2 linked regions of the Arabidopsis thaliana genome follow. The protein of the gene in region 1 interacts with the protein of each later gene in a pairwise test. Each region holds a gene or a part of one and is shown on either strand. Other genes may lie near its edges.

The links.
Region 2: the proteins of SIM (region 1) and CPR5 come close enough for resonance energy transfer, tested with the Arabidopsis thaliana proteins (one study listed by BioGRID).

What each region holds. Positions count from the first base shown.
Region 1 is NC_003076.8:1,265,949-1,269,199, reverse strand, and holds SIM (cyclin-dependent protein kinase inhibitor), read left to right. Parts: upstream 1-1,783; 5' UTR 1,784-1,842; coding exon of another isoform or gene 1,843-1,853; 5' UTR 1,854-1,923; coding exon 1,924-2,307; 3' UTR 2,308-2,575; downstream 2,576-3,251. Other genes in the region: AT5G04475 (uncharacterized protein), read right to left, coding at 1,843-1,853, 1,943-2,180. UniProt on the Arabidopsis thaliana protein: Cyclin-dependent protein kinase (CDK) inhibitor that functions as a repressor of mitosis in the endoreduplication cell cycle. Inhibits the kinase activity of CYCD3-1/CDKA-1, CYCD2-1/CDKA-1 and CYCB1-1/CDKB1-1 complexes in a dose dependent manner.
Region 2 is NC_003076.8:25,945,148-25,950,299, reverse strand, and holds CPR5 (CPR5 protein), read left to right. Parts: upstream 1-1,902; 5' UTR 1,903-1,978; coding exon 1,979-2,365; intron 2,366-2,925; coding exon 2,926-2,982; intron 2,983-3,087; coding exon 3,088-3,123; intron 3,124-3,200; coding exon 3,201-4,415; 3' UTR 4,416-4,617; downstream 4,618-5,152. Other genes in the region: ATH13 (ABC2 homolog 13), read right to left, coding at 30-150, 238-404, 489-624, 711-1,184; CIP8 (COP1-interacting protein 8), read left to right, coding at 4,958-5,152.

The sequences.
Region 1 (3,251 bases):
TGAGAGACTGAGAAAAAGATCAGTGAGATTGTTTCTTTTTCTGTACCTTTTTTTTTTGGGCTTTCACTGTCTGATAATGGCAGTCGCATCCATCCACAGATCAACCCTACATCACACTACATGCCTCCTCTAAATTCGACACGTGGCATTTCTTTAGATGATAGATTCTCTGTACACTAAATTACCTTAATACCTTTGTAACTAAAGTCTGGATATACACTGCATACATCATGTATAAGCTGACTTCTAGATTCAAATTTAACTATATAGTTGTTTTCTTGAAATATGATTATTGGCATGAGGAGTCTGTTGTAAGTAAATTAAAAAAAAACATGATTAAAACGAACGTGTAGATGTCGTGCGGATAAAAGTTAATATCATAGTCAATAGTATCATTAAAAGATATACCAATGGAATCTTACTTAATAAAATTATGCTACTTTCTCTGCAATGGAATCTTGGTTAATTTAAAAGAGAATAAATAAGATTAAACCGACTGCAATTATATCCCAGATCGTAGTTATAAACATATTTTAACATAATTTTGTATAATTTGACAAAATATGTATATATGTTAAATATGCATGTAATTGATACATCATGCATGTACAAAAACTCTAAAGTCTATACACATGACATGTCTCTAGTTTCCTTAGCGGTACACGACATAAATTCTAACCAACCTCTACGTTTAGATCTAGATTAAAAACTTTGAGGTAAAATTTGAATCTCTTTATATATCTGCCTCATTTTTTATATGATTTTCATTTTTCATTAATATAAACTATTTTTTTATATAAATATAAACTATCTATTATGTACTTCAACTAAACATATGCATGTTACTGGTTGATTATTTTTTCTAAACATATGCATGTTGCTACTTTTTTTTTATTTTGAACAAATGCATGTTACTACTTTAACCAAACAAATTTGCATGTAAACAGGATACCAAAAATAATATTTTGATTTCTTTTTATATCCTTCTAAAAACTAAATTATATGCGTGCATGTTAAGTCTACATTCGGATTGATAGAAGTTTGATATTTTTTAAAAAAAATATGTTCTTTGAATATTTTTGTTAAAGTAAATTAATTCTATATAGGTTCCCTCTTCCTTGATTTGATTCTTCTTTTTTAAGTGGATGTAACTCTCAATCTAAAAATATGAATATATACCCTCTTTTCTACATTTTCTTTTCTTTTATTTCATTTTGGAAAGATGACTTTTCTATCTTTCGGTATATATATAGATGCATATACTGTTTTCTCTACAGTAGAAAACAACTGAATTTTATCTTAAAAACTTATATTCTTTGCTTCCTCTTTTTTTTTTTTTTTTTGTCTAAAATATTCTTTGCTTCCTCTATTGAATTTTCTTTACTGTCTAGCTTTTTAAGCTTCATGTAACACACGTTTTTTTTATTATTGGTTCGTTAATAAAACATAACCCAATATATAAAAGATACAATTTCTTTTTACTGACATGAAAAATAGGCACTATGAATTCCTTACTTATTTCAGTAAATTTTTCGTTGTTTAAATATGCATGTAAGAAATTCCATTACATCACTATTTCCTCAAAATATATGTTTTCATTATTTTTAAAAGATTGTAAGGAAGCTTTCACTAATAGTAATGGATTAACTTGGCATGTGGCTTACTTTTATCTATCAAATGTAAATGAAGAGAAGTAGCAGTAGTGTGGATTTATTTCTATCATCGCTTATCTTTCTAATTATATTAAAGATAAACACATATACAACCAAAAAGGCATGTATGTAAAGACAGAAGCACATATATATAAGAAACCCACAAGTCCACTTCTCTAAGAAGATTTGTTCAGGCACACGCTAAAACACACAAACAAAAAAACAACTCTTCAAGAACATATACATTTAATATTTATATAAACAAAAAAGAATGGATCTTGATTTAATACAAGATCTGCCCATCTTGAATTTCCCACCAGCCATCAAGATCCGAGCCAACACCAACAGAGATGATGACGGCGGCGGCTGCACCACTCCCACTTCTTCCGACCACAAGATTCCTCCCACCACAGCCACCACTCCTCCTCCTCCACCGCAGAAACCCCGTCCACCTTCCACACCGTCGTCTCTCGGCATCAGATCTTGCAAGAGAAAGCTTATGACGTCATTGTCCAAGTATGAGATCATCGTCAACAAAGATGAGATCGAGCGGTTCTTCTCCTCTGTTTACAACCAAACGATGGCGTCATCCACCACGACGGCTATCACGGTGGCCAAGCGGCGAAGAAGTTTCCGTTCTTGTTCACGAAGATGATCAATAATTGGACGTTTCATTAAAGGTTCCATAATTTCGAATAGCTTTTTCGATTTTTATTTATTTTTATGTAATGTTTTTATCAACTTTACACGTCGACCCACTCTATAAATATACATGTGCGATCGATCGATGGAATCTTTTTTTCTTTACTAAAATTTGCTAGCTGTTTTGATAACGAATGACCAAATTCCAGTAGTTTTATTGACATCGTAAATATATTTCCAGCGAGAGGCACATGCACAAGTATGTATATCATCTTTTGGATAAAAGAAAAAACCTATATATATCGACTGATGAAAGTTGTGAAACTGAACAATGAAATCCTATAGCATTTACTTTATTTAGTGGCCAAAAAGTACATTTTCATCATTAGCTGATCGATGTACTTTCTTAATAAGGATATATGAATCTCTTGAATTGATCAATAGTTTGAATTATGAAATTTTGTGTCATGGGTTATGATGATAACTATTAATTATATAAAAGTAACAATTTCAAAACACTGAGATATCACGAACAAAAGGAGAGAAAATGAGTTGCCTTTGCAAGCAATTATTTTTGTCGGCCACGATATATTTCTATTATGTGTTACCATGTTGCGCATAATTATGGCTTCCGATCCAATTAACATAAGCATAATTATGATGGTAGCTAGTAAGAAAATTAAAACAAAATATAATCAATATGGCACCATCTTTAAGGTTATGAAAAGTTAGAAAGGTAATTATATTCAAAGTTTTGAAAATAAGTTAATCAGGTTCAAAAAAAGAAGAAGAAGTAGTTAGTCAGGTTACAACAAAGTAATAAAGTTCAAAAGAATGATAATTAACGGATGGTTTAGGTGTTGATGTGATTTGGACCATTTGGTTGATGAGATTATGTAAATAGTTGCGTGACTTACGTGTGCTTGTGTAAGAAGCCACGAGAGAGCTAATGATGCC
Region 2 (5,152 bases), about 25 Mb from region 1:
TATGAGAAGATTATCACAAAGACGTTTACCAAGACTAGCTGCAGCTATAGGTTCATAATCAAAACGGTCGAAAATGTCCTCAACAGAACCTCCAAGCTCCTCTTCAACAATGGATAAAGCTGTAGCAGAAGGGAAAGGAGGAACTTGATCCTGCAAAGCATAAGATCATAAAACTTAAAAAAGAAGAGCCTCACAGGCCACAAGTACAAATTCAAATAGAATAAAAAGAAATCAAACCTGAAGTTCTGACAATTGATCAACATACTCTTGAGGAAGAATATCCACTCTAGTAGAGAACTGTTGCCCAATTTTGATAAATGTAGGACCTAATCTCAAAATGTTTTCTTTCAACCACTTAGCCAAAACCTTCCTTCTTAAAACCTTCTTCTCTTCAGTCATTCCCCCTTATACACATGATTTTTCAAGAATTTAGACAAAATGAGAATCGTCCTAATCCTAGACGTAAGCAAACAAAAACAAGTATCAACCTTTATAAGAGAACTTCTTATTGCTTAACCAAGTCCTGAAAATAAACTGTACAACAAAACCCCAAATCTCCAATGTTCTTTGAATAGTTGAGTAAGTCTTGAATCTATTCCATCGACCACCAGGTGTAACAGAAACCTGTAAAACAATATTAAAGTAGCAAACTTTCAAGGAATTGAATCATTAAACAAAACGATATTGATTAAAAGTACATTACTTTATACCTCAACTTGTTTTTGTTGAGTGTTGTTCTTAAACCAAGCATCCTCTTGACCAATATCTTCTACTCTCTTCTTCCTCACTTCTTCTTTTCTCTTCTTTGTCACTTCCTCCGTTTCCACCGTTACACTTCCGTTCACATACTTCACCAAACTACCGTTACCGTTCAAACGAGCACTTCCGTTAAAATCTCCGTTGACGGATTTTCTCGCAGAGCCGTTACCGTTTAAACGTGCACTTCCGTTGTAATCACCGTTGATCTTCACTGCATTATCACGATCTTCAACAGCGACATTATCGTCTTTAGAAGCTCTGATTAATCTCGTACGAATCCGGAGATTGTGATTGTAGCTTAATCGGTTTCTGGGTAAGAAGATCCCGGCGATTGAAACGGAACGAGTGATTGTTGGAGATTGTCTTGAGTTGAAATTGATGTTTGGTAAAAGCAGAGACGACGATGAAGAAGAAGAAGTCGCCATTGATGGTAATACTTCGGAAGAGAGATCTCAAGTTAAACCCTAGTTTCTCATGGATTATTTGCGTACAAGAGATTTTGAAGAAGAAGAAGAAGAAGAAGGTGAAGACTTGTTGTTTGTTGGCACTTTGCAGTGAGAGGTTTTTTGAGGTTCATGACGAACCACAGAGAATGTTAAAAAAAAAAATTATGATAAAATAAAAGGGGTGGATATGAAAAGGACACGTGGCATAAGATGAGATTAGTGAAGGAGATGTTCTTGTGTTTTGATTGGTTGTGTTAAGACACCTCATCGTGTTATTTATCGGAGCCACAAACATTGTGCGATTTTTTTTATTGTTCCTTTTTCCAAACACTTTTATGGTCCATCTTCAAACCAAACTGATTGGTTCGGTCCTAAACTCGACTACTTGGTATGTTAATCTGGTCCTAAGCTATATGTATGACTTTTAGTTCAATTAAGTACTGAACCGATCCTATTCATTGAACAGAAAGCACCTAGAAACATCAAATTATCGCTAAAAATCGAGTAAACATATTATTACCTATTTAATTGACATTAACATATACATTGTATAATTTGAAGAATTCGTTGAACTTACAAGTTAATTCAGATATTTGGTCAAGTATTTTTCCTATATTAAGCTAATTATGACGAATTTTTAAAAATACAAATTAAATCAGAGGAAAAAGTTGGAAATTCGAAACTTTTCACTAGTCACGAAGCGACCAAAGTCTTACAACTTAAATACTTTTCTCAAAGTTGCAAATTTACCCCATAAGTTATATTTTAAGGCTATGGAAGCCCTCCTCCTCCCTCCTTCGCCGGAACCCCAAAATCAAATCACCAATCCGGCGAATTCAAAGCCAAATCATCAATCTGGTGACGTACATAAAGATGAGACGATGATGATGAAGAAGAAGAAGGATACGAATCCATCGAATTTGGAAAAGAGAAAACTCAAGGGAAAGAAGAAAGAGATTATGGACAACGACGAAGCTTCTTCGTCCTATTGTTCTACATCTTCTACCTCTAATTCAAATTCTACTAAAAGGGTTACGAGAGTGGTTCATAGATTACGAAACCCTATGCGGTTAGGTATGGCTCGACGAAGCGTTGGTGAACGACAAGCTGAAAAATTGGCGAAGCCTCTGGGCTTTTCACTTGCCGCTTTTGCTAATATGGTTCGATCAATTTCCAAACTTTGATCTTTATTGCATCACATAACTGTTTTGATACGAAATTGGCTTTGCTGGTACGGGTTGTTCCTATAGTTGACCTTGCGTGAATACTAGGTTTTGGTTGTGTTGAAAGTTTTGATCTTTAGATAGTATTAAATACAAAGTCTTTCAATTTAGGCTTTGTTGATTCAAAACTGGACAGAGGAGAGGATCTGAATCAGAGTCAAAAGGATTGAATCTGAATTTTCTTCTCTCAGTACTTGCGTGAATTCTTCACCCTGAATCGAAGAGAGGATCTTCTCCTCAAATTATAATCAGAGTCAATCAATAGAAGCTGAAGTTCTTCTTGGGGGTCTCTATGATCGAGCTTCAATGTAACATTGCAAATTTATATTGTCTTCTCTCTCACTTGCCTTAAAGCTTGAGCCTTTCTAGTTTCTACTCGGATTTGTAGTTCTGATTGTGATTTCACCAAATTTCATCCTACCTAGCCGCCAAAGTCATTGACTTGCATATGCTCTGTAGTTCTTACTCTGTTTCTACTCTGTTTTATTGTTCTCTAGGTTATTGCGAGAAAGAATGCCGCAGGTCAGAATGTTTATGTTGATGATCTTGTTGAGGTAAGTAGTATGAACTTCAAATGATTTCTTCTCAGTTTCTGTTCAATCTTTCTTTTGCCATCGTTTTGGTAGTGATACAAGAACTTCATTGATTATGCTCTCCAGATCTTTGCTACTCTTGTCGAAGAATCATTAGCCAATGTAAGCTAAAATCCCCCTCTATGTTTTCCGCATTTTTATATTTATAGACTTTCTGATTCATAATGTTGTGGTTACAGGTTTATGGTAATAAGCTTGGTTCCTTTGCGACCAACTTTGAGCAAACATTCAGCAGTACTCTAAAGATCCTTAAATTGACCAATGAATGTGCAAATCCACATCAGTCAAACAATAATGATGGTGGGAGTTGTAATTTAGATCGCTCTACCATAGACGGATGCTCAGACACCGAGCTATTTGAGAGGGAGACTTCATCTGCTACGTCTGCTTATGAAGTGATGCAAGGCAGTGCAACAGCAACCTCTTTGATGAATGAGCTTGCCCTTTTCGAAGAGACTCTACAACTCTCTTGTGTCCCTCCTAGAAGTTCAGCAATGGCTTTGACCACAGACGAAAGGTTTTTAAAAGAGCAAACACGAGCAAACGACCTAAAGACCGTGGAGATTGGTCTTCAAATAAGAGAGTTAAGGTGCAAAGAGACGGCGCTAGGATTAAAATTTGAATCAAACAACCTGGGGAAAGCGGCGCTAGAGTTGGATGTTTCGAAAGCTGCATTCAGAGCGGAGAAATTCAAAACCGAATTAGAAGATACAAGAAAAGAAGAGATGGTCACAAGAATCATGGATTGGCTCCTCGTAAGTGTCTTCAGCATGTTGGCTTCTATGGTACTTGGCGTTTACAATTTTTCAATAAAGAGAATCGAGGATGCTACCTCAGTATGCGACCAATCCGAGGAGAAAAGTTCGTCGTGGTGGGTTCCTAAACAAGTTTCATCGATTAACTCAGGCTTCAACACCTTCATCTGCCGGGTTCGAGTTTGGGTGCAGATATTTTTCGGTGTGTTAATGATCATTGTCTTCACTTACTTTCTAAACAAACGATCATCAGGTACGAAGCAGACAATGCCGATAAGTTTCATCGTTCTTTTCCTCGGTATATTTTGCGGTGTATCGGGTAAATTGTGTGTGGACACATTGGGCGGTGATGGCAAACTCTGGCTAATAGTTTGGGAAGTGTTTTGCCTTTTGCAATTCGTTGCAAATGTCTTCACATTGGCTTTGTATGGTCTAATGTTCGGTCCTATAAACGTGACTCAAGAGACCAGATCGAACCGTTGTAACAGTATGTTTCCATATTGGGCAAGGCGCAGTGTCGTGTATGTGGTGATTCTGTTTGTTCTTCCAGTCATAAACGGTCTTTTGCCATTTGCAACATTTGGTGAATGGAGAGACTTCGCTATGTATCACCTTCATGGTGGGTCTGACTATGCTTGAGACGAGGAGGCCATCTTTGTATTGTAATTTATTGTAACGATTTGGGTTTTTTAATCTTATTTTATTTTATGGGTGCTGTTGAAACAATTGTATCGCTATTACAAAGTTATGTATTCGAGTTATATGTTTGTATTGTTGTCAAAAGAAATTAAAATTATGCTTTTCGATATGACAAAATTTCATGGGTCAAATGGTACTTTATCTTATCAAGTTTTTGGATAAAAGTGCAAGTCAGTTTTGATTTGGAAGCTGGTTTAAATTGGATTGAACAATTTGATTTTTATGTTTGACAGCAATTGAACAGTTTGATTAAATTGTAAGTATTATGAATTTATGATGATGGTGATATCATATATAGAAGAAAATATTATGATATTGTGGGTGGGTCAAGTGGGTAAATGAGCAGGATTCTCTAATGTCTTAAAAATTCGATAATAATAATACAGAGAGACCTTTTTCTTTTATTTTCTCCATCCTCTTAATCGGCTTATCGGATCCGAATCCGGACCCGAAAGCCTGAAAACCCGACGATTAATTGCACGATGTCCGATGCTCCGTCGTCTTCCCCGGATGCCACGGCGTCGCACTGGTGCTATCACTGCAACAAACGCGTCGTCGTTGAAACCTTAGATGACTTTGTCGTGTGCTGCGAATGTAACAAAGGTTTCGTCGAGTCAATTCAACCGACTCCCGCCGCTTATTCATCGCCGGCGCCACCGCAGCCACTTTCCCCAGAT